4 linked regions of the Anolis sagrei genome follow. The protein of the gene in region 1 binds, or shares a complex with, the protein of each later gene. Links are inferred from orthologs where the notes say so. Each region holds a gene or a part of one and is shown in the gene's direction. Other genes may lie near its edges.

What was found.
Region 2: TMEM237 (region 1) and CEP290 share a complex: the UniProt entries of both Homo sapiens proteins name them as parts of the tectonic-like complex. The link is inferred for Anolis sagrei from reciprocal best matches to the Homo sapiens genes TMEM237 and CEP290.
Region 3: TMEM237 (region 1) and TMEM17 share a complex: the UniProt entries of both Homo sapiens proteins name them as parts of the tectonic-like complex. The link is inferred for Anolis sagrei from reciprocal best matches to the Homo sapiens genes TMEM237 and TMEM17.
Region 4: TMEM237 (region 1) and AHI1 share a complex: the UniProt entries of both Homo sapiens proteins name them as parts of the tectonic-like complex. The link is inferred for Anolis sagrei from reciprocal best matches to the Homo sapiens genes TMEM237 and AHI1.

The regions. Positions count from the first base shown.
Region 1 is NC_090021.1:164,682,831-164,690,678, reverse strand, and holds the start of TMEM237 (transmembrane protein 237), read left to right. Parts: upstream 1-4,490; 5' UTR 4,491-4,590; coding exon 4,591-4,608; intron 4,609-7,848. Other genes in the region: MPP4 (MAGUK p55 subfamily member 4), read left to right, coding at 229-420. UniProt on the Homo sapiens protein: Component of the transition zone in primary cilia. Required for ciliogenesis.
Region 2 is NC_090025.1:152,525,949-152,533,790, reverse strand, and holds the start of CEP290 (centrosomal protein of 290 kDa), read left to right. Parts: upstream 1-4,361; 5' UTR 4,362-4,663; intron 4,664-7,045; 5' UTR 7,046-7,064; coding exon 7,065-7,166; intron 7,167-7,842. UniProt on the Homo sapiens protein: Involved in early and late steps in cilia formation. Its association with CCP110 is required for inhibition of primary cilia formation by CCP110.
Region 3 is NC_090021.1:152,383,089-152,391,857, reverse strand, and holds the start of TMEM17 (transmembrane protein 17), read left to right. Parts: upstream 1-5,420; 5' UTR 5,421-5,507; coding exon 5,508-5,613; intron 5,614-8,769. UniProt on the Homo sapiens protein: Transmembrane component of the tectonic-like complex, a complex localized at the transition zone of primary cilia and acting as a barrier that prevents diffusion of transmembrane proteins between the cilia and plasma membranes.
Region 4 is NC_090021.1:80,413,891-80,421,672, forward strand, and holds the start of AHI1 (jouberin), read left to right. Parts: upstream 1-4,108; 5' UTR 4,109-4,185; exon of another isoform or gene 4,186-4,189; intron 4,190-7,782. UniProt on the Homo sapiens protein: Involved in vesicle trafficking and required for ciliogenesis, formation of primary non-motile cilium, and recruitment of RAB8A to the basal body of primary cilium.

The DNA.
Region 1 (7,848 bases):
ATGTAAAGTGTACTTATATTTGGTTCATTATTATTACATACTATTTACAGCTTATGAAATTAAACAAAAACATATCAGAGTAACTATTACTCAGAGATACATATATTGACATCTTATGAGAATAGATGGTGTGTTGATTTTGAAGTCAACAGCAATAAAACAATTCCACTAGGTTCAATATCATTTCAGGAGATGACTTTAGCCCTTTTGTTCAATTGCTCTCTATAGGAAGAAGACTTGCAGGAGATGGAAGAATCAGCTAAAAAAATGGAAACTCAGTTTGGCCAATTCTTTGACCAAGTGATTGTGAATGACAACTTACAGGAAGCTTGTCTTCAGTTGCTGTCTGCTGTACGTCGAGCACAGGACGAACCTCAGTGGGTCCCAGCAACATGGATTTGCTCAGAGAATCAGCCATAATTTCCAAGACTAGACAGATTTACACTGATTGTATAGAGTTCATGCTTCACTACAACATTAATCATAATGCTGGGACTGCCAGATAAAATATATCTTTGTTTAAAGGGATTTTGGAGATGATTCAAGCAAGAAGCTATAAAATTCTTGGACATAGTCCATATCACTTTGAGCCAGGAACTAAAGCTTAATAAACCAGCAACTGAGCAAGCAATATGCTGATGCAATTCACTCCTTTTTGGTGTAGGGAGATAAACAAAATATTTTTGGGGTTTTTTTTGTCTAAACCAGTGGTTCTCAACCTGTGGGTCCCCAGATATTTTGGTCTACAACTTCCAGAAATCCCAGCCAGTTTACCAGCTGTTAGAATTTCTGGAAGTTGAAGAACAAAACATCTGGGAACCCACAGGTTGGGAACCACTGGTATAAACAAACTAAACTAGACAATTATAGTAGTATTATATTGCTTTAATTGCCACAGTTCCACCTTACGGGGTCCTGGGATCTGTAGCTTGATGTAGTATTTACTGCTTGTGATGGCAGAGATCTCTAGGGCTGGAGTTCAGGATAGTTCATTAGAAAACCGTCACCACCCAAATCCTGTGGGATGGAGTCATGGCCATTAAACTGTGGATGCATGCCAGAATCCACAAGGCAGTAGCACACCTCATTTCACTGTCTGGTTTATCAAACCAAAACTCATGGCTTAAAGTGAAGAGAAATGAAACCACTATGTGATGTGGTGTCCTTAAACACTGTGTATTCAGTAACATTAATTTGGTTCCAAAACACTGTTAGGTTGTAGTGTCAGAATGTAATGTAATTGTTATGGGGAAAAATTAAAAGAATTTATTTTGTTGCATTTATCTGTTTGAGCCAGTTGTAGTCATCATATTGTTTTCCACATTTGGGGATTTTGTAAGATTTCTTCTCCTTTCAGCATTCAGAAGTTTGAGAATTCCCTCCCGCCCCCAAAAAACATAAGTTAACAAGACAGTCTTTTGTGCTATAAACTATCTCTTCTTGGTTGTTGACAGTTATTTAGTGGGAATGACACCAAGGAAGAGGAGTTTTCTTTGCATTCATTTCTGGCCTTGGCCAATTCGCAAACATCAAGGTTCCAGGATCACTTTGTGACACCATGTGACCCACAGAAGGAAAAGTGCTGCAAGAATGGCTGTTAGTCATCTCAAGATGCTCCAAGGATTAGGGTTAGGGTTATTAGTCAATCAGCTCCTGATTTGTCTGATAAAACCTTGGGACTTTAGGCGATCCCTCGCTATTCGAGTAGGATTGTCTTCCAAGATTGGTGTACTGGAGGTGGATCCGTAGGTGGCTGTGGAGCCCTATTCTTGACCTGCATCTTCTCCCGCAGTGAGGGCATTGGTTTCCAGGTGGAAGGCGGTCCCGGTTGGAGTTGGCTTGATATGCCTTCCTCTTGGCACGTTTCTCTCTTTCACCCTCCATTCGTGCCTCTTCTTTTTTTTTTTTTTTAATAATTTTTTTATTGATTTATCACATTTATTACATACTATTGCATTTTATACATCAACCTCTTTAACATGTTGTTTTATTGTTTTGCTTTGACAATTCCCCTCCTTTTCTCTTTTTTTTTCCTTTTTTTTCCCCCCCGCCACAGTACTCCCCTCCACCCGTCTCAAGCCACCATTCTTACATTTCATCTGTCCAAAATTTCATTTCTTCTTGTGACGGTAATTTTCCTTCCTTATTTTTTAATCCATTCGTGCCTCTTCAAATTCTATAGCACTGCTGGTCACAGCTGACCTCCAGCTGGAGCACTCAAGGGCCAGGGCTTCCCAGTTCTCAGTGTCTATGCCACAGTTTTTGAGGTTGGCTTTGAGCCCATCTTTAAATCTCTTTTCCTGTTCTCCAACGTTCTGTTTTCCATTCTTGAGTTCGGAGTAGAGCAACTGCTTTGGGAGACAGTGGTCAGGCATCCGGACAACGTGGCCAGTCCAGCGGAGTTGATGGCAGAGGACAATCGCTTCAGTGCTGGTGGTCTTTGCTTCTTCCAGCACGCTGACATTTGTCCCCTTGTCTTCCCAAGAGATTTGCAGGATTTTCCAGAGGGAGCACTGATGGAATCATTCTAGGAGTTGCATGTGTAGACAGTCCACATCTCACAGGCATCTAGCAGGGTTGGGAGGACAATAGCTTTATAAACAAGCATCTTGGTATCCCTACGGATGTCCCGATCCTCAAAGAGGACCTAATCTACAACTGAAACTTGGTGCCGTCCAGAGGGCAACTTGGTGACTGACATTGTACAACAATTCCTTGAATATAAACAGATTGTAACAGCTGGCTTAGAATGTAATGACATATCGCACATACATATGTATTTATTTATTTACAGTATTTACATACCACCTTTCTCAGCCCTTGGGGGGGCTCAAAGCGGTTAAATGTTTTTCCCCTGACATTAAGTCCAGTCGTGTCTGACTCTGAGGGTGTAGTGGTCATCTCTATTTCTAAGCCGAAGAGCTGGCGTTGTCCATAGACACCTCCAAGGTCATGTGGCCAGCATGACTGCACGGAGCGCTGTTACCTTCCTGCCGGAGTGGTACCTATTAATTTACTCACATTTGCATGTTTTCGAAGTGCTAGGTTGGCAGAAGCTGGGGCTAACAGCAAGAGCTCACACCGCTCCCCACATTCGAACCAGCAACCTTTTGGTCAGCAAGTTGAGCAGCTCAGTGGTTTAACCTGCTGTGCCACCGGAGGCTTCTTAGTAACATTATGTGACATGATTTTTGTTCCTGGGTTGTAAATGTCATTTCCTTTTTCTTTTCTTTCAAAAAGATAATACACCAACCATATATATTGCAGAAATATACAGGGTTAGTCAAAATGCATAGGCCAATAAGCCATTCAATTGAATGGCTTATTGGCCTATGCATTTTGACTAACCCTGTACACATACACATACACATACGTAGACAACCCGCCACCCACAGTAGTTACCCCTCAACCCACCCCCAGTGCTATCCGCCACCTTGGCTTCTGTCACTGATCCCCGCAGGATTTATGCACATCTTGTTTAACCCTCTATACTTCTAATTCAATAAATTCCTCTTGTTTTTATTTCTTTAGCTCTCCCATCAAGTATGCTAAGGCCAGCTTCCAGTTTCTTTCAAATATTTCATGACTTTCATATTTTAAATTGCTAGAAATCTTAGCCATCTGTGTGTAATCCCACAGTTTATCCTTCCAATCATTGATGCTTAATGTTTTCTCCCCTTTCCAGTCTTTGGCAATTGTAATGCGTGCAGCCACAAAGCTGTACAAACAAAATTCTCTCTCTGGTTGTTCAGTGTGTCCCCAGGTGTTTTGGCCTACAACTCCCAGAAGTCCCAGCCAGTTTACCAACTGTTAGGATTTCTGGGAGTTGAAGGCCAAAACATCTGGGGACCCACAGGTTGAGAACCACTGATCTAATCTATCCCTGAATATCCCTAATAGGCACATCCCTGGGTTCTTTTTTTTTACTTTGTTGTGAATCATTTTATTTGTTTCCTTTATTATTCTTTTCCAATAGACCTGCACCAGTTCACAAGCCCACCATCCATGAAAAAAGTCCCTTTCTTTGTTTTGCAATAAATGTCATTTCCTAATTGGTTCTATTATAAAAAAACATGGGGAAAGTTGATGAAATTGCAAAAACTTTGTTTTGGCGGGACATTCTGCAGCACATTTTGCTGTAGTCTTTCAATGACTAGGCTGGATCTACACTGCCATATAACCCAGATCATCAAAGCAAGATAATCCACATTGACTGCTTTTAATAGTTTTCCTCACAACTGAATAAAATCCTACTTGGAACTGGGATATATGGCAGTGTGGACTCAGGTATTCCAGTTCAAAGCAGAGATTGTGGGGTTATTCTGCCCTGATATTCTGTGTTGCTTAGTTGTCAACACATCCAGATGGCATTGGAAGAGTTGGGTCTGTTTACTTGCCTGGTCTTGCAATCTCAGGGTTGCCATGAAATCCTTTGGAGGGGTTTCCCTGGCCGAGTGTTGCGATTGGGGGAGGCCTTGGTGACGTTTTTTGGACTTCCTTCCCTTCCCTCCCTTGGAGACCGGGAGGCGTCGCCTGCCTGGGAGAAAGAGAGAGAGAGAGAGAGAGAGAGAGAGAGAGGCCTGCAGCGCCATGGAGACCGCCCGCCCGGTGAGGGGAATGAGAACACGCTCTCGCCGCGCGATAAAAACCCTGTCCGCACCGGGGCTGAGGAGTGGAGGAGGGGAAGGGCTCCCCCGCAGAACACCACTCAAGACCATCGGATGGGGCCGCCGCCTTAGCTGCCTTCAAGCCTGTGTCTCTACACCAGGCCTGGGCCAACTTAGGCCCTCCCTCCAGGTGTTTTGGACTTCAACTCCCACAATTCCTCACAGCCTCAGGCCCCTGGGCCTGAGGCTGTGAGGAATTGTGGGAGTTGAAGTCCAAAACACCTGGAGGGAGGGCCCAAGTTAGCCCAGGCCTGCTCTACACAGTTTGTATTCTGAGGTATCCATCGCCATCTCGCTTTTGTGTGTGTGCCTCCCTGAAGAGAGATGAAGCAGGCCTCCCTCTATACTGCTGCCCTAATCATGCAGATTGAACTGGATTATAAAACAATGTAGACTCTTCAATACAGGCAGCCCCCAGGTTACCAATAAGAAAAGTTATGTAGGTTTGTTCTTAAGTTGAATTTGTATGTAAGTCGGAACAGGGACGTGATTTAAGTACAGGGTGAGGCTGCATAACTTCCTTTTTTAAAATGCGTGCCATTCATTCGTTTGAAGACGTAGCGGAGCGCTAGTGGTCTCGTTCGAGAGGCGGGAATATAAAGTTTTGTCCTGACACAGTTCAGTCGCCATCCTGCGTTGGAACAGGGAGGAGTGTGCTTTGGCCATTGAGGCCTACTTTTCAAGCAGATTTGGAGTGGCCAGCCCACTCTCCAGAGTTGGCCCCTTGTGATTTTTTTTCTATGGGGTTTTTTGAAATCCCGTGTTTATGTGAACCGTCCAAGGACCCTACAAGATTTGAAGGCCAACATCCAGGAAGAAACTGCCAACATCACACCTGCTATGCTGGCAAGAGTCATGACCAACGCCAAAAATCAGTTTACTCAGTGTATGGAAAATGGGGGACGTCACCTACCTCATTTGATCTTCAAAACGACGTAAAAGAAAACTTTACGTTATAAATTTTTTTAAAAAAATTCTGATTCATACAATGGGTTTTATTAAGTTTTGAAAAAAGGAAGTTATGCTGCCTCAGCCTGTGTAACTCCAGCCATATATACCCACACACATATATACTGTATTTTCTTATGCTATCTAAAGCTTGCATATACATGTGTGTGTAACTCCAGACAAATGTGTGTGTATACAAATACACATACACACACATATATATACACACATACACATATATACATGCATACACAAACACATGTACACACATATACACACATACATATATATATATACACACACACATATATATATACACACATACATACATACACACAGATATAGATACATATATACACACATATGCACACACACACACACATATATATATACATACATAGATATACACACAGATATGTACACACACACACATGGATGGAGTTACACTTAACTTCATCCAGCCAAGTATATGTGTGTGTGCGTATACACACACACAAATAATAATAATAGAAAATGAACACACAAAAATACTGTGGAACTTTCGAATCTGGACTGACAAAGTTTTGGAACACAATACACCAGACATCACGATTGTAGAAAAGAAAAACGTTTGGATTATTGATGTCTCCATACCAAGTGACAGTCGCATTGAGGAAAAACAACAAGAATAACTCAGCCATTATCAGGACCTTAAAATCAAACTGCAAAGGCTCTGGCATAAACCAGTACAGGTGGTCCCAGTAGTCACTGGCACACTGGGTGCCCTGCCAAAAGATCTCAGCTGGCATTTGGAAGCAATAAACATTGACAAAATCATGGTCTGTCAACTGCAAAAGGCCACCTTACTTGGATCAGTGCGCATCATTCAAAAATACATACGCTTGGGAAGTGTTCGACTTGTGATTTTTTTGATACGAAATCCAGCATATAGGTCTCGTTTGCTGTGACATGCTGTGTTTTTGTGTCAGTACAATAATAGTAATAATACCTTTAACTTTGAAGGAGCTGGGGGTGGCCATGGCTGAGAGGGAACTCTGGCAAAAGCTGGTCCATGAGGTGACCAAATGAATAAACAACAACAATAATAACTTTATTTTTGTATTCCGCCTCCATCTCTCCGAAGGTACTTGGGGCGCCTTACATGGGGCCAAGCCCGATCAAGACAGTTAAAATATGACACATTAAAATAAAACAACATTATAACAGAATTAAACAGGCATCACATATGGAGTTTCACAAATATATATATATATATATATATATATAGAATTGAATAACTATCGTCATTGTGCTACTGCACAAAGAAATTAGAAATTTCCATAAATGCTTTCCCCAGCACACACTCATCACTCCACAACTCACACAGCCCTCAATGCCACACCATTGTGAAACCCAGAATATCCTACAATATCTGCCATATATCCCAGTTCAAAGCAGACAATGTGGGATTTTCCACCTTGATATTCTGGGTTATATGGCTGTGTGGAAGGGCCCTTTGATTTATGGCAACCTTGTAAATGAAGTATCTCCCTGCCATCAATAGCCCTGGCCAGACCTGACAGACCCCTTCCACAGCTTCCCACATTATCTGCTGGGATATATAGCAGTGTGGACTCAGATAAACCGGTTTAAAGCGGATATTATGGGACTTTCTGCCTTGATATCCTATGTGGAAGGGCCCTCTGAGCCTTCCCTATACTATCCAAAGGATGCATGCTTTTGTGTGTGTGTGTATGAAGTTGCAATTAAATAATATATTTGTTCTGACGCATACAAATTCAACTTAAAATCAAACTTATAGAACCCAACTTGGGGGCTGCTTATATTATATTTTTGCAGTACATTCAGCCATGCTACTTATATGTGTCATGCAGAACCGTTTTCTTCACAGTTATTCAGTATGCTTTATTAGACTTTATCATGACCATGTTGCCCCCTGTATTGTGTCATTGTATGCATACATTTGTTTAGAAGGAAGTCTCGCTGAATTCAGTCTACATCTGAGAGTCATTGTGATGTGCTGGCTTTAGTGTTGGACTACAACTCTGGAGACCATGGTTCAATGCCACTTGCTCTCAGCCCCAGAAAACAAGTCAGAAGTGACTCAAAGGCATATAACAACCAAGGCCCTGTTCAGGTGTTCTGCCCTGTGGAACCTGCTTGTGAAGCAAAGTAATAAACACACCAGTGTCACTCCACTTGCCCCCATGAGCTGGAGGGATCATTTCTTAAT
Region 2 (7,842 bases), on another chromosome or scaffold:
CTACCCTCACTGGATGATCCCACTTATGGTCTTTTAAAATAAAAACTTTAAAAACTTTTGTTTATTTGACTGTTGTTGTGTAACTTCTAATCCTAAACAGCTTTTTAGTTATATGGCTCGTTTCAGTTATGCTGCTCTGGGAATTTACAAAAAGGAAAGTGGGGTGAAAATGATCAAAAATACATCAAAAACTTTAGGAGACAGCATCTGTTTCGAAATACAATGTATAGGGTGATTTTTTTCACATGCCAAGATGATAAAACAACATACAATCTTAGAATCATAGAGTTGGAAGAGACCACAAGGGCCATCCAGTTCAACCACCTGATATGCAGGAATACACAATCAAAACACTCGTGACAGATGACCATCCAGCCTGCTTAAAATCCTCCTTAGAAGTATTACAAAATGCTTTTACCTTTTACAAAGGTAAAAGAAAAAGAAAAATTAGCACAGAATATAGAACTGAACTGGGAAATCTGTGACCAGCTGTTGTTGGACCAGTTTCCTTCATCCCAGACTACTAGTCGTGCTGCCTGGAAGACTACAGGTTACTAATTAAGGAAACAAAAAAGTGTCGAATGCTGGAGTAGTACATATGACATATGGGAAGATAAAATGTACATTTGAAGTATGCTGTATTCTCAATAATGCATGTACTGACCACGTCCATGGGCCATACATAAAACTGTTCCTGTGCTTTTATGTTTTGAATTCAGATGGGCTTCAAGGCACATTAATAATATGGTACAAGAGTCTGTGATACGAAAAGGAAAACAATTCAAAAGTACTTAAAAACTATCTGAGAAGTGACAGGATGAAATCACAAATATTTATATGTAGCAGATTGTTATTTTCCAGGCCTATGATTGCACACAGCTAACAATCACATAAATAATGAAAGCAGACCATTAGAAAGAGCCTGCTAGTTCAGCATTATTGAGAAGCTCAATTACGATGCCGCTTCTGAGGCAATTTACTCAAGGCTGCTTATGATAACAGATCAAGCAAAACAACAGAGTATTTTTGACTGTCAAGCTAAGATTCTTCATTTCAATGACACTTGTGGGAGAAGGGAGCCATCGATCAGAACAACTTTTGCATAAATGTATGAAACATGTCTCTTCAAATACTCATAAAGATAAGAGTCAAACTGAATGACTGACAATCACCAAGTCTTCATGAATCTACATAGAACCACATACAAGGAATTGTGTTCTTCCTTATATAGACTGTTGAATGATCTGCTAGAAGACAGGTAAAGCTGTTAGAATTCAAAACAGGCCTACCCAATCAATTTTAAACTATGAATTTTAAAGTGACATTTATGAATGATTTTAATACCTTTTAATCTTATGTCTATGTTCTATTTATACCTCGCGTTTCTCTATCCCGAAGGGGACTCAAGGGCACTTATTCATACAAACATTAAGCCTAAAATAAATTAAATTAAAATTAATATATATATTAAGCATTTAAAAGCATTACATTCAATATTAAAATCACACCATCCAGAAATCATAGTCCAAAGCCGTTCCATGGCCATTGCTAATATTGCACTGCACTATTCTCGGTTAGCCTGATCCCACAGCCAAATTTTTACTTTTCTTCTGAAGGCTACTTCAGGTACAAACAATTAATTCAGACCCCTTTAGCCTCAGATGAACGGTAGGCAGCAGTGGAGACTTCCACTAATTTACAAGGAATCCCAACTGTGCACACTGGTGCTCATTTCCAAGAGAGCATCCATCAGATTATATCCCTTTGGATGTGAGCTCTCAAAGCAATCGATAACTGGATAATTAGTGATACGGGTTGAGGATCCTTGTCCTGAATGCTCCACAATCTGAAACTGCCCACTTGGGTGAAACCTTTGCTTTCTATTGGATCAATGTGCACAAACTTTCTTTCATGAACAAAATTATTTAAAAATATATCACATCATATACTTTAAAGCTATGTGTCAAAGAGGTATATGAAATATATATGGTTTTTGTGTCTAGATCAGGCATGGGCATCAGGGTTGGACTGGATGGCCCACAAGGTCTCTTTCAACTCAATGATTCTATGGGCACACTTCAGCCCTCCAGGCATTTTGGACTTCAACTCCCACAATTCCTAACAGCCGGAATTGTGGAAGTTGAAGTCCAAAACACATGGAGGGCCCAAGTTTGCCCATGCCTGGTGTAGACTTAAGCCTCACCTCCAAGATCTCTCATATATATAAATAAAAATGTAATGTTCGTTTGTGGGATTAACAGAACTCAAAAACCACTGGACGAATTGACACCAAATTGGGACACAAGACACCTAACAACCCAATGTATGTCCTTCACTCAAAAAAAATGATGGAATTTATAGTTCACCTACAATCAAAGAGCATTCTGAACCCCACCAATGATGGAATTGAACCAAACTTGGCACACAGTTCTCCCATGACCAACAGAAGGGTTTGGTGGGTACTGTCCTTTGGTTTTGGAGCTTAGTTCATCTACATCCAGAGATCACTGTGGACTCAAACAATGATGGTTCTGGACCAAACTCTACGTGAATACTCAATATGCCCAAATGTGAACACTGGTGGAGCTTGGGGAAAACAGAATCTTGACATTTGGCAGTTGTAGTTGCTGGGATTTATAGTTCACCTACAATCACAGAGCATTCTGAACCCCACCAACAATAGAATTGGGCCAAACCTCCCACACAGACTCCCCACGTGGGCCACAGCAACGCGTGGCATGGGATGGCTAGTCTATATAAACAAAAATGTAATGCTCGTTTGTGGGATTAACGTAACTCAAAAACCACTAGATGAAATGACACAAAATTTGGACACTATTTATTTATTTCTGGTATTTATATCCTGTCTCTTCTCTATCCCAAAACGGGGACTCAGGATGGCTTACATAGGCAGCAATTCGATGCCGTTACATGAACCCCTAACAAACCAATGAATGACCATCACTCATACCCCCTCCCCCCCCCCCAAAAAAAAACCAGTGGAAAGGATTTAAACCCCCCCCCCAAAGCAAAATGACAAAAAGCTAAATGACATACAGAAAAAGGAGAAGGAGGGAGGAAAGGAAGGAAGGGGAAAAAGAAAGAAAGAAAGATAGAAAGAAGGAAGGAAGGAAAGAGCAAAGGAAGCATGGAAGAAAAGAGCGAAGGAAGGAAGGAAAGAGGTAGAGAAAGAAGAAAGGAGAGAAAGAGGAAAAGAAAAGGGTGTAGAAAGAAAGGGGTAGAGAATGAAGGAAGCAGAGAAGGAAAGAAAAAAAGAAAAGGAAGGGAAGAGGGAGCGAAGGAAGAAGAGAAAGAGTGAAAAGGGGAGGGAAGGAAAGAGAGAAGGAAGAATGAAAGCAAAGAGCGAAGGAAGGAAAGAGGTAGAGAAGGAAGAAAGGAAAGAAAGAGGAAAAGAAAAGGGGGGATAGAAAGAAGGAAGGAGAGAAGGAAAGAAAAAAGGAAAGGAAGGAAAGAGGGAGCGAAGGAAAGAGGGAGGGAAGGAAAGAGAGAAGGATGGATGGAAGCAAAAAGCAAAGGAAGGAAGGAAGGAAGGAAGGAAGGAAGGAAGGAAGGTGAGAAAGGGAAGGAAAAGAAAAAGGGAGGAAGGAAAGAGGCAGAGAAGGAAGGAAGGGGAGAAGGAAAGAAGAAAAGGAAAGAAGGAGAGAAAGAGGGAGGGAAGGTTGGTCACAGCAACGCGTGGCGGGTACAGCTAGTTATGAATATGAAAATATTCCAAAATCCAAAAATATCTGGTCCCAAGCATTTCAGATGAAGGATACTCAAACTGTAGGGTCTGAACACGGGTCTTCACCAGCGTCACGTGTGAACACTTTCATGGGAAACCACCCACTTTTTTTCTGCGATGGCCACCTCTAGCAATAGATGGAAGCATTCCTCTCACTTAACATACAGGTAAGCCTTGTGAGATGCAGAAAACAGGGGCAGCCCTACTACACCGCCCTGAGTCTTTCTAAACCCTCTTCCTCCCTCTAAAGATGCCAGGAACCCTCTCCTTACCTTTTAGCACATTACCGCCCTTGGCAAGAAGCCGGCACAAGCAGCCCTGCTTCCCACATTAACTCGGAGGCTCTGCTGGAGCATCTCTTCCACCATGTCTCTCTCCAGCCCCTGAACATGAAAAAGCAACTGGAGACTCCCCTCTCGCACTGCGCAGGCGCTGACTCTGTCTCCCCCTACGGCGTGACGACAGAGCATGCTGAGAAGCCGCTCTGGGGGGAAAAAACTCCACGTCCCAGCATGCTAAGCGGCCGATGTTGTGAAAGTCCGCCTCTCGGTAGTGCGTAGAGCACTGTGGGTAGCGTAGTCTTCGGCAGGACATTTTGTGGGAGGTTAAAGAATATCCGGGTTCTTTTGAGCCCGGAAGAGAAGTGTTTGATGGCGTCGCCCAGCAACGGCCATCTCTCCTCCTCCTTCCTCCTCTTTGTCAACGGAAGCCAGGGGAAAGGGGAGTGAGCGGGAAGGGCGGGAGACGCTTGAGCAGGATCAGCGCTGCCTTTGAAGGTGTCGGTTTTACAGCCGCGAGGCCTTGTGGTCGCCCAAGGAAGGCTTAGGGTGAAGGCCCTGCCGCCCTTCAGCCATTCTCTGTGAAGTAAACCTACTGACAGTTTAAGAGAAAGTACCGGGCCCTGCGCAAACTATCGAGGTACTATTCGTATTATTATTATCGGGTTGCTGTGAGTTTTCTGGGCTGTATGGCCATGTATGTATGATGCAGCTAAACATCAAAAAAACCAAGATTATGGCAACAAGAATGATTGACAACTGGAAGATAGAGGGAGAAATCGTGGAGGCCGTGACAGACTTTGTATTTCTAGGTGCAAAGATTACTACAGATGAAGACTGTGGCCAGGAAATCAGGAGACGCTTCCTTCTTGGGAGGAGAGCAATGTCCAATCTCGATAAAATAGTAAAGAGTAGAGACATCACACTGGCAACAAAGATCCGCCTAGTCAAAGCCATGGTATTCCCTGTAGTAACCTACGGATGTGAGAGCTGGATCTTAGAGAAGGCTGAGTGAAGGAAGATCGATGCTTTTGAACTGTGGTGCTGGAGGAAAGTTCTGAGAGTGCCTTGGACTGCGAGAAGAACCAACCAGTCCATCCTCCAGGAAATAAAGCCTGACTGCTCACTGGAGGGAAGGATACTAGAGACAAAGTTGAAGTACTTTGGCCACATCATTAGGAGACAGCAAAGCCTAGAGAAGACAATTATGCTGGGGAAAGTGGAAGGCAAAAGGAAGAGGGGCCGACCAAGGGCAAGATGGATGGATGGCATCCTTCAAGTGACTGGACTGACCTTGAAGGAGCTGGGGGTGGTGACGGCCGACAGGGAGCTCTGGCGTGGGCTGGTCCATGAGGTCACGAAGAGTCGGAGATGACTGAACGAATGAACAACAACAATGGCCATGTTCCAGAAGCATTCTCTTCTGACGTTTCGCCTACATCCATGGCAGGCATCTTCAGAGGTTGTGAAATCTGTTGGAAACTAAGCAAGTGTAGTTTATATTTCTGTGGAATGTCCAAGGTGGGAGAAAGAACTTTTTGTCTGCTTGAGGCAGGTGTGAATGTTACAATTAGCCACCTTGATTAGCATTGAGTAGCCTTGCAGCTTCAAAGCCTGGCTGCTTCCTGCCTGGGGGGCTCCTTTGATGGGAGGTGTTAGCTGGCCCTGGAGCCCCCGGTGGTGCAGTGGGTTAAACCCCTGTGCCGGCAGGACTGAAGACCGACAGGTCGCAGGTTCGAAACTGGGGAGAGGCAGATGAGCTCCCTCTATCAGCTCCAGCTCTTCATGCGGGGACATGAGAGAAGCCTCCCACAAGGATGATAAAAACATCAAATCATCCAGGCATCCCCTGGGCAACGTCCTTGCAGACTGCCAATTCTCTCACACCAGAAGCGACTTGCTCCTGACACAACCAAAAAGAAAAGAAAAGCTGGCCCTGATTGTTTCTTTTCTGGAATTCCTTTGTTTTTTGAGTGTTGCTCTCTATTTACCATCCTGATTATAGAGTTTTTAAATACTGGTAGCCAGATTTTGTTCATTTTTGTGGTTTCTTCCTTTCTGTTGAAATTGTCCACATGCTTGTGGATTTCAATGGCTTCTCTGTGTATCCTGACATGGTGGTTGTGAGAGTGGCCCAGCATTTCTGTATTCCCAAATAATATGCTGTGTCCAGGTTGGTTCATCAGGTGCTCTGCTATGGCTGACATCTGTGGCTGAATCAGTCTGCAGTGCCTTTCATGTTCCTTTATTCGTGTTTGGGCGCTGCTTTTGGTGGTCCCTATGTAGACTTATCCACAGCTGCATGGTATACAGTAGACTCCTGCAGAAGTGAGAGGATCCCTCTTGTCCTTTGCTGGAAATAGCATTTATTTGATTTTCTGAATGGGCCTGTAGATAGTTTGTAGGTTGTGTTTCTTTATCAGCTTTCCTATGTGGTCAGTGGTTCCCTTGATGTATGGCAAGAACACTTTTCCTCTGGGTGGATCTTTGTCTTTACTCTCGTGGCTTGTTCTCGGTCTTGCAGCTCTTCTGATGTCTGTGGTGGAGTATCCATTGGCCTGTAGAGCCCGGTTTAGGTGGTTCAGTTCATCTTGGAGAAGGTGGGGTTCGCAGATTCTTTTTGCATGGTCTGCCAGAGCTTTAATTGTGCTTCTTCTTCTTCTTCTTTTTTACTTGGGTGATGTTTGGAGTTTTTATGTAGGTATCTATCCATGTGTGTAGGTTTTCTGTAAACTCTGTGGCCCAATTGTTGATTGGGCCACACAACACTCAAAAATGGGAATTCCAGACAAGAAACAGTCAGGGTTAGCTAATCACTACCCAACAAAAAATTCCCCCAGGTAGGAAGGAGGCAAGCTTTGAAGCTGCAACGCTATTCAGTGCTAATCAAGGTGATCAGTTGCAACATTCACACCCCCCACCCCCACCCTGACTCATTGTTTGAAGATTTCCGCTTTAAAAGTAGATCAATAAGCTGTGCATATGTTTCTGTTCATACAGCTTTTCTTCTTCTAATCTACAGAGATAAATGAACACTCAAGATGGCACCTATTTTAGAATGGAAAAAGCTTATGAGAGTAGATCCTGATGCTTTGCCCCGTCAAGAGGAACTTGCAGATAATTTGCTGGAGGCAGTAGCCAAGGTATTCTCATAATGGATTCAATGTGTTGTATAAATATGCAGTGGATCTTTGGTATATGCTAGGGTTTGGTTCCAGGACTCTGTAGGTGGATACCAAAATCTGTGAATACTTGAGTCTCATTAGCTATCAGAAAAGCTAATGTATAAGCAAAGATTAGCAAAAGGAGAAATAGAAGATCTTTTTGATAATCCAGGCTGTCCTTGAGTTACAGACATCTGACTTACAAACGACTCAAAGTTAAGAATGGGGATGAGACAACAGGAAGTGAGAGAAATCTGCCCCTCGGAAGGGGAATTGAATCCTTAAAGATTTATCATGGGGAAGTGTGTCTCTACTGAAGCTTTATCACCAATCCTTGCTTCTAAATTTTTCAAAATCTAATTATCACAGGAAAAAAGTGAGCTGAAATCTTCTGAACGGGACACAGACTGCAAAACAAACACCACGGGGGTGTTAATCCTTCTCTATGCTATGCTAGGCTTATATATAGCTGGTGTTACACTTTAAAATGTACCTGTTCCAACTTGCATACATATTCAACTTAAGAACAAACCTACAGAACCTATCTTGTTCATAACTAGGGGACTGCCAGTACATGGAAGTTATTTATTAGCTTCATGTGTAAATTCAAATCACCAAATGATCAAGAAAGACCATGGATGAGCAATTAGAAAAT
Region 3 (8,769 bases), about 12 Mb from region 1:
GTGTGGATTGGGCCTGGGGATCGTGTGAGCCCCCCCCCCCCCCACATAGGGGGTCTCAGTTACTTCAGCAGTAAACTCATAGGATTTAGATGAGAAGGAGGGGGGGGGGGAGAAAGGCTTATTTCTTGGTTACAGTACAGTGTAGAGATGTGATCCCTAGCTTATATCAAAATGTGTTTCAGTCTTAACAAGTCTGAAAAAAGCCAACTGTATAATCTGCCATAAAGCAGATTATTACAATTAACTGCATTGAATTGGATTATATGAGTGTACACTGCCTTCTATGGCACTGTAGATCCAGCCTAAGACTTGAAATCATCAAAAGTAATTCACATACTGGAGCTCTCTCATCTTAATTCATGGTGCCATCCTTCCCTCCACAACTGAGGTTCTACAGATCAGGGAAGCAGAAATCATGACTTCATGGCTAGTCATACACTGAGATAGGCAAATTGGGGGGGGGGGGGGGGGGGATCTGTGGGGTTCTGCTGCAAATGCTTCTCTCAATGCACCCTGCAATCACAGGAGTGCTACTACTATCAGTTTCTGTCACCCTAATCTGCTGTTTCAGAAACCCACTGATTGTGGTACTGCATAGATGTGAATCTCCAAAGTTACAAGATCCTAAGAATGGCCTACAGTCTCATAGATACTGAACAAGAATACCAGCCAGGTCCTATCATTCTACACCTGTTAATGAACAACTAGGAGCAAAAGTAAAGCAAAATATGTCATTTTTTAATTTAGGAAAAGCCCAAAACACTGTCAGGTGCTGGGGCATGGTAATTCCATCAAGAGTACTTGAGGGAGGGTTTAACTTTTCTTTCACCAGCACCACGCATTTGATTCACTGGGATCACAACTAGGAAGGAATTGATGATAATTTGTACCTCACTTTTCCCCCCAGGACTGGGATCCAAAGTAGCTCACAGCCTTTAAAACTATACAGTTTCAAAAGCTATACAATATAAATGTTAATATAGAATTAAATATTAGAATGATTAAATCAATGATAAAAACTAGTAAAACTGTTAAAATAATTGCTAACTCCATGCAGCACCCCTGGCCTTGCTCTTTAAAACTTCCTGTTTTAAAAAGCCTTGCTAAATAAAAAGGTTTTAGCCTGCCACCGGAAGGACAGCAAGGAGAGGGCCATTCTAACCTCTCTATGGAGTTCAATCCCCCTGCCGTGCACACTGTGGCTCTAATGAAAATGTTTTAGCTTTTAGTAGGCTGGATATTATTTATTTATTTATTTATTTATTTACTTTACTTGTATACCACAGTTTCTCAGCCCAACAGGCGACTCAACGCGGTTTACAACAAGGATAAGAATCAATCAACGATATACAATTTAAAACCATAAAAGCATAATATACAATATTGACACAACAAAGACAACACAATGCATCTCATAACTAGAGTCGTGATCCAATCCGTCGTCCAAATTTCCATTCCTGTAATCATCACATTCATTGCACTGTATAACCGAATGCCCGTTCAAACATCCAAGTTTTTAATATGTATTCTAAGCTGAGTTTGGCCCTAATAGATAGTCCCTTTCAGTTTCATGGCTTGCAATCATATAGGGTGCTGTTATTTTGCAGCAAGGGTTCCAAAAGCTATGTACAGCCAATCACCGAGTCCTCGACATCCGACTTACATACAAACCCCTAGTTACAGGCAGGCAAGAGGGGGCACCAGCAGCACTCTGAGCCTTTGCAGTATTTATGTGCACAGGTAAAAATAAACATGTCAAGGTAAGCAACTGTCCAAGTTGCATTAAAAGTAGAACTCCATGTAGATTTTTCTTTTTTCTTTTTAGTTTTGGTTAGTATGGTCTGGGGTTGGAGCCACTGTGGGATTTATACTGCTGCATCCTCATTAGAAAGATTTAACCTCACTTTTTGTCTCTGAGACAACAGGAAACTAGTGGAAATCTACCCCCAGGAAGGTAAATCCACTCTTGTGACAGTTATCATGGGAAAAAAGGTATCTCCACCGAAGCTTTAGCAACAATCCTTGTTGCCATAACAACCCAAATTTTTCAAAAACCATTGTCACAGTGACAGAAAGTGAGGTGAAATCTTCTGAACAGGGGCATAGACAGCAAAATAAACGTTACAGAGCTGTTAGCCCTTCCCTATGCTATTCAAAAATAAAATAAAATAGGCTAGAGTTGCACTTATAAATGTCCCTGTTCCGACTTACATTCAAATTCAACTTAAGGACAAACCTACATAACCTTTCTTGTCCATAAACTGAGAACTGCCAATATATCACAAGGAAATCTCAGCACAAGACAGTTAAATGCATCACTCTAAGACAAAGATTGTAGGATGCAATCTGCATAATTCATAACACAGGAAAAGCTGGAACACTGAGAGAACTACTTCTAAATTTCAGCCCATGCATTTTTGAATGTTGCAGGGGCAGATGGAAGTAGAATTATTATAAAATATAATAATACTACACATAGCTATGTCTTTTTGCTTTGAGCATGTACCATATACCTACCATAAATTAGTATATCTCATCAGACCCTTGAGATGCTTTTCACGATTCTTTCTTTAAAAGTCTTTTTGTTATTAAAATTAAAACAATGCAAAATATCTTCTTATATTTGATTGCTTATAATGGCTTTTGCATGGACAGCTAAATTGGAATTACCCATCAAAGACTGTACTAACTCTAGTCAAGACAGTATGACTGAAAATAATACACCTTTGTACCAACTCCTACCAGTCAATAATATTGAACGGAGTAAAAAAAAAAGACTGGGACATTTGGCTTGCCAATGTCATAACAAATAGCAATATGTGATATTATGTGAAACAAATCAGGGTCTCCAACCAGGCCGGATCAGTTGCACTTATTCTTCTGAGCCAGACAAAGCGTTCGCTGGGTGTTAAAGTGATGGTGACATAAATAGAAGAGCGGCTGACAAACCGATCTGCTGGCATTCAGCCCGTCCTTTTCACAGGTTCTTCACAATGGGTGGGAGAAGTACTTGGAGGATTATGTTATCAGGATGCCCTGAGACAAGAAATCTGGCAGTGGTTTGTCAAGCTAGTTGCATCGTTTGTTTTATTATCATTGTTTATGAAAGTACATTCCTCTTTTTCTGAATATAAAATTAGTATTTGAGCAAACTTCTTGAAGAGATGCAAATTCTTGGGAATCAGACATGTTTCCACAACTGGAAAATTTCAAAACTAAATTGCAATGCACAAGTTGCTCATAGACTTGGTTAGGTGCAGGATGGGGTGAGGGTTGATGGCTTCCAAAACGTAGATCAAAGGGTGCATGTACATTGTATAATTAATGATGTTTGACACCACTTTAAGTGCAATGGTTCAATGCTATGGAATAATCAAAACTGTAATTACAAACTATACATCTCAATGAGGTCTAAAGCCAGAGCAACCCCCACTGTAGGATCTGTGCTGTTTCTAGTGTCATCTGCCCTGTTTTTCAGTGAGCTTCAGAATACACTGAACATAACTGCACACTGCCACTTTGGCAGAATTGGCCACCTTCAGAGATACATTTAATTAAGTAGCAGAGGGATACTAACAATGGTGGAATCTTAAGCCTCTTGGCTTTGCTATGCTTAAGTGCACTTGTACAGGCAATCCCTGAGTTACAAACATCCGACTTACAAACAACTCATAGTTAACAGCAGGGAGTGAGGAATTTACCTCCAGGAAGGGAAATCCGCTCTTGTGAGAGTTATCATGGGGAAAAGGTGTCTCAACTGAAGCTTTCTCACCAATCCTTGTTTCCACAAGCCATTTCTTTCAAAATCAAATGATTAAGGGGACAGAAAGTGAGGTGAAATCTTCTGAAATCTTCTGAACAGAGGCACAGACAGCAAAGCAAACATCACACTCTGCTATGAAAAGCATATTTATTTATTTATTTATTTCAAAATTTTCTATACCGAGCTTCTCACCTCTCAGAGGGACTCAGCCCGGTTTACAACCATAAAAACATACAATCAGTAAAATATCATAGTTCATAATTACAATAACACATTTAAAATAACAACTATATTTAAAACTACGGTGGTCAGTCATCAAATTAAAAACAAGTATACCTCATCTTCCATACACAATCCTAGGGTGCTGTCTCATTCATCGAAAGCCTGTCTCCACAACCACGTCTTCACCCGTTTCCTGAATGTCAGGATAGACGGGGCGGTTCTGACCTCCAGTGGGAGAGAGTTCCAGAGTCGCGGGGCCACCACCGAGAAGGCCCTGTCCCTCGTCCCCACCAGGCGCGCTTGTGAGGCCGGTGGGACCGAGAGCAGGGCCTCTCCAGACGATCTTAGTAATCTTGATGGTACGTAGGGGAGAATACGTTCGGAGAGGTAAACAGGGCCGGAGTCGTTTATATATATACACATACACACATCATACATATATATATACATCTATAAATGTACACACACATATACATGTACACATGCCCATATATATATATATATATATATATGGCTGGAGTTACATATAAGACATTTACTTGTTCTGATTTACATACAAATTCAACTTAAGAACAAACCTACAGAACCATCTTGTTCGTAACTTGGGGACTGCCTGTACTTCTGAAATGCCAAATATTAAAAAAAATGACACAGCTGAATAAAATCCCACATTATCTGCTTTGAACTGGGATATATGGCAGTGTGGACTAGGGGCTCTTCCAGACAGGCCCTTTATCCCAGGCTCTGATCCCAGGTTTTCTGTTTATTCCAGATTATCTGGCAGTGGGGACCCATATAATCAAGTTTAAAGCAGAAAACCTGGGATCAGATCCTGGGCTATAGGGCCTGTCTGGAAGGGCCCTCAGATAACCCAGTTCAAAGCAGGTATTGTGGAATTTTCTGCCTTAATATTCTGGATTATATGGCTGTGTGGAAGGGCCCTGGGACTCTGTTTTGATTTTGCCAAGCTGCAATTTTACGACTTCATAGTATTACTGCCGGATATCCCTAAGACCTAAACTGAGGACCATGTACAGACTTAGCTGAATAACTAACGAAATTAAAAGGTTCTATATTCGTCTTCTAAGGGCCCTATATCCCAGAATATCAAGGCAGAATAACCCACAATATCTGCTTTGAACTGGGATATCTGAGTCCACACTGCTATATATTCCAGTTCAAAACAGATAGTGTGGGATATTACTCAGTTGTGTGGAAAGGGCCTAAGGGTTCATTTCTCACTACTAAAAGCTTGTCTGGGGCTTCAATTCTTGGGCTAGGAAGAGTAAGCAAAGTCTGCCACTGAAACCCAAGGTTTGTCTCACTTTAACAGCCTATGTTCGGGGAGACTTTTCCCGCCACGCGGCGCCCTCTCTGGCTGAGAGACACTGTGTGTGGGACTGGCCCAGAGGACCAGGTTTCTGAAGGAGCGACTCTGCGCCTGCGCCTAGGCTCCCGGCCACGCCCCCTGTTGCTACGGCAACGAACGACGGCGGCAGCGGCTGCCTGTCTTTAAGGCCTCATGTCCCTACCGGAGCCGGTCAGGCGTCGGCTCAACTCTTTCAGCCGCACGGTCTTTACTGACAACAGCCGCACGGGGCCCGAGAGCGGAGGCGACGACGTTCCGGGTGAGGGGAGGGGCGGTGTTTCGCCAGCTCCAAAGATGGCGACGAAGGTGGCAAGGGGTTGGAAAGGAGCTTGCCTCAAGGCAGAAAGGGTGGACGGTGGCGCGAGGCCTTGTGCGTCGTCGTTTGACCTGAGAGCGCGAGGAGCGGCACGCGCCAGTAAAAAAAAAGGAGGGAGGGGGAGGAGGAGAAGCCCCTCCCTTCTTGGTCCCCACTCTCCCTGCTTACTGGTCGGACAGTGCAGCCCACGCCGGGTCTGCGGCCTAACACCCCAACTTCTTGTTCCTGGCTCTTCGGAAACAGCACACATTTTTCCTAAAATTGTTCTACAATACCATACAATCCATTTCAAAGCAGATAATCTGGGGGATCTTCCAGACAGGCCCTATATTCCTGGATCTGCTTCCAGATTTTCTCTTTATCCCAGATTATCTGGCAGTGCAGACTCATATAATCCAGTTTAAAGCAGAAAACGCGGAATCAGATGCTGGGATATAGAGCCTGTCTAGAAGGGCCCTCGATTATATGGCAGGGTATAAGGGGCCTTAGGAGCCCCCAGTGGCACAGTGGGTTAAAGCGCTGGCTGAGCTGCTGAGCTTGTTGACCGAAAGGTCACAGGTTTGAATCCGGGGAGCGGTGTGACCTTCCGCTGTCAGCCCCAGCTTCTGCCAACCTAGCAGTTTGAAAACATGCAAATGTGAGTAGTTCAATAGGTACCTCTCTGGCAGGAAGGTAACAACGCTCCATACAGTCATGCTGGCCACATGACCTTGGAGGTGTCTATGGACAACGGCGGCTCTTCAGCTTAGAAATGGAGATGAGCACCACACCCCAGAGTCAGACACGACTGGATTTAATGTCAGGGGAAAACCTCTACACACAACACTGCTGGAATCGTGTCAGAAGTAAATTAAAAATTTGTTGTTGTTCATTCGTTCAGTCGTCTCCAACTCTTCGTGACCTCATGGACCAGCCCACGCCAGAGCTCCCTGTCGGCCGTCACCACCCCCAGCTCCTTCAAGGTCAGTCCAGTCACTTCAAGGATGCCATCCATCCATCTTGCCCTTGGTCGGCCCCTCTTCCTTTTGCCTTCCACTTTCCCCAGCATGATTGTCTTCTCTAGGCTTTGCTGTCTCCTCATGATGTGGCCAAAGTAATTAAGAATTAATTACTACAATTATATATATATATATATATATAAATGTAATGTTCGTTTGTGGGATTAACAGAACTCAAAAATCACTGGACGAATTGACACCAAATTTGGACACAAGACACCTAACAACCCAATGTATGTCCATTAAAAAAAAAATGATTTTCTCATTTGGGAGTTGTAGTTGCTGGGATTTAGCGTTCACCTACAATCAAAGTGCATTCTGAACCCCACCAATGATGGAATTGAACCAAACTTGGCACAGAGTTCTCCTATGACCAACTGAAAATACTGGAAGGGTTTGGTGGGCAGTGTCCTTTGGTTTTGGAGTTGTAATTCACCTACACCCAGAAAGCACTGTGGACTCAAACAATGATGGATCAGGACCAAACTTGGCACAAATACTCAGTATGCCCAAATGTGAACACTGGTGGAGTTTGGAGAAAATAACCTTGACACTTGGGAATTGTAGTTGCTGGGAGTTATAGTTTACCTACAATCAAAGAGCATTCTGAACTCCAGCAACGACGGAATTGAACCAGTCTTGGCACACAGAACTCCCATGACCAACAGAAAATACTGGAAGGATTTGGTGGGCAGTGCCCTTTGGTTTTGGGGTTGTAGTTCACCTATATCCAGAGATCACTGTGGACTCAAACAATGATGAGTCTGGACCAAACTCTACACAAATACTCAATATGCCCAAATGTGAACACTGGTAGAGTTTGGGGAAAATAGAATCTTGACATTTGGGAGTTGTAGTTGCTGGGATTTATAGTTCACCTACAATCACAGAGCATTCTGAATCCCACCAACGATAGAATTGGGCCAAACCTCCCACACAGAACCCCCATATGGGCCACAGCAATGCGTGGCAGGGGACAGCTAGTAATGTATAAAAAACAAAGTTCAAAACTTGGCATTATATTAAATTTCCTTTGACCAGAGGCTGGCCATTTGGAGTGCCTCTGGTGTCTTTTTAATTTTTTTTTATTGATTTATCACAATTATTACATACTGTTGCATTTTATACATCAACCTCTTTAACATGTTGTTTTGTTGTTTTGCTTTGACATTTCCTCCCCTTTTCTCTTTTTTTTTTCCCCCCTATTTTCACCTCAGTGCTCCCCTCCACCCGTCTCAAGCCACATTTTTTACATTTCATCTGTCCAAAATTTCATTTCTTCTTGTGACGGTAATTTTCCTTCCTTATTTTTTAATCCATTTACCACAAATTTTCCCCATATAGCATCAAAATCACTTTGTTTCCATATACCTTTTTAAACCTTTAATATACATGTCAGTTTGTCATTTAATGCTATTTTCCATGCTTCCTTGTACCACTCCTCTATTCGTATATTCATTTCTTTTTTCCAATTCCTTGCTATGAGCAGTCTTGCTATAGTTAGTAAGTTTGTTATCGCTTCTTTATCCTCCTTTTTCAGTTGCTTATTGGTATATAATGATAATAAGGCTATACTAGGACTTTTGTCTATTTTCATATTCATTATACTTTCTATTTCTCTAAATACTTTCTCCCAAAAATTATTTACATATTTACATTGCCACCACATATGTATATATGTTCCTGGTTCTTTACATCCTCTCCAACAATTTGTTGAATTGTTTTTATTCATATATGCTATTCTTACCGGTGTTAAGTACCACTTCCATATTAACTTGTAATAATTTTCTTTAACACGTATCGATAGGTTTTTTAAATGTCTTTGTCCCCATAACTGTTGCCACTCTATTTCACTTATTTTTATCCCTAAATCCTCTTCCCAAATCTCCTTAAGGGTACTCTTTTTCATTTTCCCATCCTTCATTTCAATTAGTATCTTATAGATTTTGCTAATTATACCTCTCAAGTTTCCGTGTTCTTCTACTGCCCTTCCCTTCTGTATTATTTGTTCAAATTGATTGAGTTGGCTTCCGTTTCTATTTTTTTTTCCAGTTTATTAACCATTGTTCTAGCTGTATACAATGAAACCATGATAATTTTA
Region 4 (7,782 bases), about 84 Mb from region 1:
CTCATGGAGATGTGATTGCAAAGACCAGCAGAAAGTATGAAATGCTCTTTAAAATGGTTTCAGGAAAAATCTCAAAATTAATTTTTTGATATAAAAATCAATGAATGTATATAACTTCATTGCCACCTAGAGGACTGTTTGTAAATTACGGATACTTCTACACTGAGATTTCATCTACATTTCCTCTTCTTTTTCCTCAACGTGTGCCCCGCTTGATAACAGGGACTGCTTTACTGGTTTTTGTATTATACATTTCCTGTACATTATAATGCAGGTAACAGCATTTTCTTTTCTTTTTTAAGTCCATCATCATTATTTTCAAAATATGTGCCACATTTGGAGCTATTAAATATGTAACAAAATTTGAAAAGTTTTCTGTTTCTAGTTTGAAAATGTTATTTCGTGTTTAACTGTGCAATACTTACTTTAAAAGTAGTTGTTATACTCTAGAAACTTCATTTTTCTACTTGCCACAAACTATGTTGAATTGGTTGAGATTATTCAGATATTAATCAGGTAACTCATGGAAAAACTATAGCAAAATGTGCTGCAGGATGTCCCACAAAACCAAAGTTTTTGCAGTTTAATAAACTTTTTCTATTTTTTATGATAGAATCAATTAGGAAATGACATTTATAATATAGGAACAAAAATTGTGTTACATAGTGTTATCCATCTTAAACATAGATCTCATTCAAACTGCCATATAATGCATATTGACTGTATTACATGAATCTACACTGACCATTATAATACAGTTTTAAACTTCATTATATGCCAGTGTAAATGGGTCCACAGTTATCTAAAACCCAAAGTATGTGTATGTGAGAAGGATCTTCAACAATAATTAATGCAAATTTCCTCATGGGGGAGAGGGGATTCAAATGAATTTAATTTGGAAAATGACTAAAAAGCATAAAAGACCACCCCACATAACTTGAGTTATGTTTAAGTCTAATATCTACTACTGATAAATATTTTTAAAGTTTGGTGTAAAAAGATTAATTTAAACATAATTAAAAATACCTTTAAAGGGTTCCAGACATGTTCAGAAATATGAAAATTACAAAGAAATAAAAATGATATGTCGCTATTTTCTTGTATATGAATGGTTTAGTCACCAAAATATATTAGCAATTTAAAATATAAAACCAATACAAATTTATTTATTTATTTATTTAATTGTGTCATCAGCAACCATACCATTGTGTTACAATTCTAACAGAACAAAACAATACAAATTGTTCTGACCAATACAAATAAGTTCAAATAGAAGAATCTGACCAGCAATGTATCAAAATTCACTACGTTTAATCTGTTGTTCATTCGTTCAGTCGTCTCCGACTCTTCGTGACCTCATGGACCAGCCCACGCCAGAGCTCCCTGTCGGCCGTTACCACCCCCAGCTCCTTCAAGGTCAGTCCAGTCACTTCAAGGATACCATCCATCCATCTTGCCCTTGGTCGGCCCCTCTTCCTTTTGCCTTCCACTTTCCCCAGCATAATTGTCTTCTCTAGGCTTTCCTGTCTCCTCATGATGTGGCCAAAGTACTTCAACTCTGTCTCTAGTATCTTTCCCTCCAGTGAGCAGTCGGGCTTTATTTCCTGGAGGATGGACTGGTTGGATCTTCTCGCAGTCCAAGGCACTCTCAGCACTTTCCTCCAACACCACAGCTCAAAAGCATCAATCTTCCTTCGCTCAGCCTTCCCCAAGGTCCAGCTCTCACATCCGTAGGTGACTACAGGGAATACGTTTAATCTAGGAAGTTTTAAATTTGAGCTGTGTGTAATGTAGTTGCCTTGTAATTGAATAGGGTTCATTTATCTACAATGCAATAAATTAGAAACTCTGGAACTCCCTTCCTAAAGAAGTTAGAATGGCTCCTTCACTACTATCATTAAGGAATCAAGTAAAAACTTCCCTGTGAAACCAGGAGAACAATAGTACTGAAAATGCCAGATCTATCGTGTGCAATGTTTGAACTGCAATGGACCTGACTACAACCTAAATGAATTGATACCAGATGGGGTTTTTAATGTATTGAATGTTTAATTGCATTTTTGTTAGTCATTAATGTCCATTTTTATCATTTTATTAGATATGGCTATGCTTATGATGGTTTTGCCTACTTTTATTGCATGCTATGTTGTTGCTTTTTGTATGTAGTTTGCCGCTTTGATTTCTGAGCTGGGAAAAAAGCAGGAGAGAAATAAATAAACAAGAAACTGATTGTTTTACTGACACAAAAAGACAGTATGTCACAGCAAACGAGATCTATATGCTGGATTTCGTATCACAAAATCACAAGTCAAACATTTCCCAAGTGTCTAGGACTGTGTGATGTATTTTCAAATGATGTGCGCTGATCCATCATAAGGTGGCCTTTTACAGTTGACAGATTGTCATTTTGTCGATGTTTATTTTTTCCAAATGCTGGCTGAGATCTTTTGGCAAGGCACCCACTGGGACCACCTGTACTGGTCTTTGCAGTTCAATTAGGAGCCCCCGGTGGCGCAGTGGGTTAAACCCCTTGTGCCAGCAGGACTGAAGACCAACAGGTCGCAGGTTCGAATCTGGGAAGAGGCGGATGAGCTCCCTCTATCAGCTCCAGCTCCTCATGTGGGGACATGAGAGAAGCTTCCCACAAGGATGATAAAAACATCAAATCATCCAGGCGTCCCCTGGGAAACGTCCTTGCAGATGGCCAATTCTCTCACACCAGAAGCGACTTGCAGTTTCTCAAGTCACCCCTTACATGACCAAAAAAAAAAGTTTGATTTTGAGTCTTGACAGCGTTTTTCCTGTTGTTTTTCCTCAATGTGACTGTCACCTGGTATGGCAACATCAATAATCCAGACTTTTTTCTTTTCCACAATTGTGATGTCTTGAGTGTTATGTTCCAAAACTTTGTCAGTCTGGATTCGAAAGTCCTACAGTATTTTTGCATGTTCATTTTCCATGACCTAAGAAACTTATTATTATTATTATTATTATTATTAGAAACCAATTAATTGGACTGACCCTAGGGACTGACACAGGAACAGCAGAACAGTAGAGTTTCCTAAATTTAGGGTGCATTTGTTTATTTATATCCATCCCGCTTTATCTCTCCATATAAAGATAAAGCTGACATTAATTAAGTCTAGTTGTGTTCAACTCTGAGGGTTGGTGCTCATCTCCATTTTTAAGCCGAAGTGCTGGCGTTGTCCGTAGCCGCCTCCTAGGTCATGTGGCCAGCATGACTGCCTGGAACACTGTTATTTTCCTGCAGAAGCAGTACCTATTGATCTACTCACATTTGCATGTTTTCGAACTGCTAGGTTGACAGAAGCTGGGCCTAACAGCAGGAGCTCACCCCACTCCCCAGATTCAAACCGCTAATCTTTTGGTCAGCAAGTTCAGCAGCTCAGTGGTTTAACCCGCTGCACCACCAGGGGGCTTTGATCAGAGGTTCAAATCAAAAACATTACAACTTCAAATATATCAAAATAAAACAGTATATTATATATTATTAGTAAAGGTAAAGGTAGTCCCCTGACATTAAGTCCAGTCATGTCTGACTCTGGGGTGTGGTGCTCATCTCCATTTCTAAGCCAGTGTTGTCCGTAGACACCTCCAAGGTCATGTGGCGGCATGACTGCATGGAACGCAGTCATATATATATATATATAGATAGATAATATTATATTATTATATAATATAATTTTATATATATATATATATATATATTAGTAGTAGTAGTAATTATATTTAATATATTAGTATTACTATATTAGAGTATTATATATTATTATATTGTATTATTAGTAGCATTATATTGTATGACATCTATTGCATCTACACTGTATAGAATTAATGCGGTTTGAGACCCCTTGAATTGTCATCGCTGGAGGCAATGGAAGCCTGGGATTTGGAGTTTGGTGAGTAACCAACCCTGCTTGAGAGGGAAAGGCTAGAGATCTCCCCGGCTTCCACAGCGCGCTTAAAAGTCCTGCCAAACCCATTCATTCTGCATCTCGAAGGCGGAGGGAGAGGAAATCCTCCTGTAGTCTTATCCCGTTGAGGCTGAGTGAGCGCCAGGGCGCATGCTCGCCCTGTCCTGCTATCACGTGCCCTCCCCGCCGTCGCCTAGCAGCCGCTCGTCCCGCCCCCTTCCTCTTCGAGGTCCCCGGCGCGCGCTCAGCGGTAGGTAGGCGATGACTTGATTGGCATGTTCTGAGGGAGGGGAGGGGGGATGAGGGCGAGGCGAGGGGGCTTTGCCGTTCCCCTCCTAAAAGGTGCCCGTTATTCCCTTTCTTCCCTCAGAAGAAAAGTCTCAGTTGGAGGGCCTTCTCGCGTCCCTATGGCGAGCTTTTGTTTCCCACCCTTCCCATTTGGAGTTTAACCCAAAATGACTGTGTGTTGGGGAGGGGGGAGGGGTGAATCCGTAATTGAGAAAAACCAACAACCATAAAGCCTCCTGTGAAGGCAGCGAAAGCCTCAAATCTCAGGCTTTCTCTTTGGGGCCTCATCCCAGCCTGGATACAGTCAACACTTGCCAAGTGGAGTGAATTCGCTCTATGTTCAAAATACTTCAGCAGGGGGTGCTAGAGCCCTTTGGAAAGAGCATTAGGAAGAGGCCAAGGGTGTGCTTTAGTTTTTATGTTTTTCCTCTCTGGGATGAATTAAACCCATGGAGAGGTAGTGAGGTATGAGCTGCCTTGCCTCAGTCCCACAGAATGCTGGGGTTTGTAGTGTGTGTAGCTCTCTGACAGAAGGATGAAGGTGAAGCAACAAAGCCCAGGGCTCTAGAGCAGTAACCAACCCTCTTTGAAACTTGGGCAAACTTGGGCCCTCCAGAGGTTTTGGACTCCAACTCCCACAATTCCTAACAACCTCAGGCCCCTTCCTTCCCCCATCCTCAAAACATCTGAGGGGGTGGCAAACTCTGGAGGGCCCAAGTTTATCCATAACATTGAGCCAAATGATGTCAAACAGATACGTGGGTTCAATGAAAAGTAATGCCTCCCCCTTCGTAACTTCTCAACAGTACTGCTCTCAACCCCATCACTATTGCAAACACGGTTAATGGGGATGAGAGACAGGGCCTTCTCAGCAGTGCCCCCCCCCAGAGGGAATGCCCTCCCTAGAGATATCAGATTGGCCACTTCCCTCTCGTCTTTTAGAAAGAAAATCAAGACCTGGTTATGGGACCAAGCATTTGATCAGTGAGCAGCAAGTGGAAGAAGATCACATAACTTATGGCAATGAATTGACGCGGACTTGTTTTTGAATTTTGATTTTAATGGATGTGTCTTAATTAATTGTTTTAATTTTTAAAAATTTGATTGTACTGTGGTTGTTTTTATGATGCTAGCATCGGATGATGCTTTTGTTAGGCCGCCCTGAGTCCCCCTTCGGGGGGAGAAGGGCGGGGTATAAATATAGGAAATAAATAAATATGCGGCAGGTGCTGGCTTGTTCAGTAGACTCTCCTCTACAGTCCCATTTTGACAGGAAGCCTTAGCATTGAATGCTTGTGTTGTTATAATGTGAAGTATGGAACCCTGTGCAGACGATCGGCCAGTGCGACTTAAGCAACGTGCAGTCATTGAATTCTTGACAGCAGAAGGTGTCACCCTAAAGGAGATTCATCAGAGAATGCGAGCTGTTTATGGTGATTGTGTTGATGTGAGTACTGTAAGTCGTTGGATGAGAAAGTTTAAAGATGCTGTGGTGGGAACATCTGACTTGCATGACAGACAAAGAGTTGGACGTCCTGTGATAGCAACCACCGAGCTTCACAAGCAAAAGGTTGACAGATTGATTCAGGATGATCGTCGTATCACTCAGAGAGAAATTTCAAGCATAATCGGCATTTCACAAGAACGTGTGGGTCACATTATTGCTTTGCTTGGCTATCGGAAGATCTGTGCATGATGGGTATCCACGATGTAGACTTGAAAATTCAGAGACTGGATCTCACCACCATACAACATCCTCCATACAGTCCAGATTTAGCACCGTCAGATTTCCATCTGTTCCTGATAATGAAAGAAGATCTGCGGGGGCATCAATTTGCTTCTGATAAAGACATAGAGAGAATTGTGAGATGTGGGTTGCGGATACAGAGTGTCGACTTCTTCCGTGATGGCTTCAGAAAACTTGTTCATCATTGGCAGAAATGTATCCAATTGTCTGGTGATTATGTGGCAAAATGAATAGCAGTAGTTAAAGAGCACATTCTAAGGATTATTTCTGCGTTTGATTTATGAAAATATTCCCATCCAAACCCAAGTTATGAAGGTGGAGGCATTACTTTTCATTCAACCCTCGTACAATTCTTGCAGTGTGGCTACATTAACAACATTATATCCCACGTTTTCTCTCTAAAAGGAGACAAAGTGGCTTGCATAGCATAGGCATCACCCACTGTTTTGTTATCAATCTCTGCCTTGTGTGTGGTGTATTTGAATTTCAAACATTAGTAACCTTTATTTATATCCCACCCCCTCTCCACAAGGACTCGGGGGGGGGGGGGGAGTTTGCAACAGAATCAAGTTACAATACATACATAAATAAAAGCCAAAAAAGTCAAAACATAATAAATAACCAATAATCATAAACAAAAATCTTGAAAAATGATAAACACGCAGGTTAAGAATTATACTGGGTTTAAAAACATACTGCACCGTGGAGGCAAAACCAGTTTAAAGCCAATAGGTATTGACAAGGCTTAAAGACCACCATCATAATGAATAGTCAACCGTTTTCGAAAGCCAGCTTCCAATTCCAGATTTTTAGTTCTTTCCTGAAGTTAGCTAGAGTGGTCACCTGTATGATTTCTTTAGGGCAGTGGTTCTCAAGATGTTTTGCCCTTCAATTCACAGAAATCCTAACAGCTGGTAAACTGGCTGGGATTTCTGGGAGTTGTAGGCCAGAACACCTGGGGACCCACATTGTTGTGAATCACTGCTTTAGGGAGAGCATTCCAAAGGCAGGGGGGCACCACCGAGAAGGCCCTTTCTCTCATTCCCACCCGCCATGCTTGTGAGGGTGGCGGAACTGTGAGAAAGGCCCCTTGAAGGACCTTAAAGCCCGAGGTGGTTCATAAGGGGAAATGCAGTCACACAGATAGGCTAGACCGAAACCCTAAAAACATTGCCAGAATGTTTTTAGTTAAGATGGTTGCTTAAAAAAATAGAGATTATTTGTAATGAAATGTAACACATCATTGATAAGTTTAAGTTTGTTGTTGTTGTTGTTGTTGTTGTTGTTGTTGTTTTGATTACTGGCTGTTTCATTTTTTCCCATGAAACTTTTCCTCTTATAAAACTAAAAAACAAAACAAAAACCCAATTCTTTATGGTCTAGAACCCTTTGAACTTCATGAAAATCATCATATTTTGACAAGCAACCTGAAGCCACACACACAAATGGCCCAAAAAGCAATGCAGTAGACCCTTAATTAACAGGAACTCAAGAAAACAGCAATAAAATTAACTAAAATTACATTAACTTATGTTTGTCTTGGAGCCTGCGGTGATGCAGCAGGTTAAACGGCTGAGCTGCTGAACTTGCTGACCAAAATGTCGGCGGTTTGAATCCAGGGAGTGAGGTGAGCTCCCACTCTTAGTCCCAGCTTCTGTCAACCTAGCACTCCATGCAGTCATGCCGGCCACATGACCTAGGAGAAACCTACAGACAACATCAGCTCTTTGGCTTAGAAAAGGAGATGAGCACCACCCCCTAGAGTAGGACACAAATAGACTTAATGTCAAGGGGAAACCTTTACCTTTTATG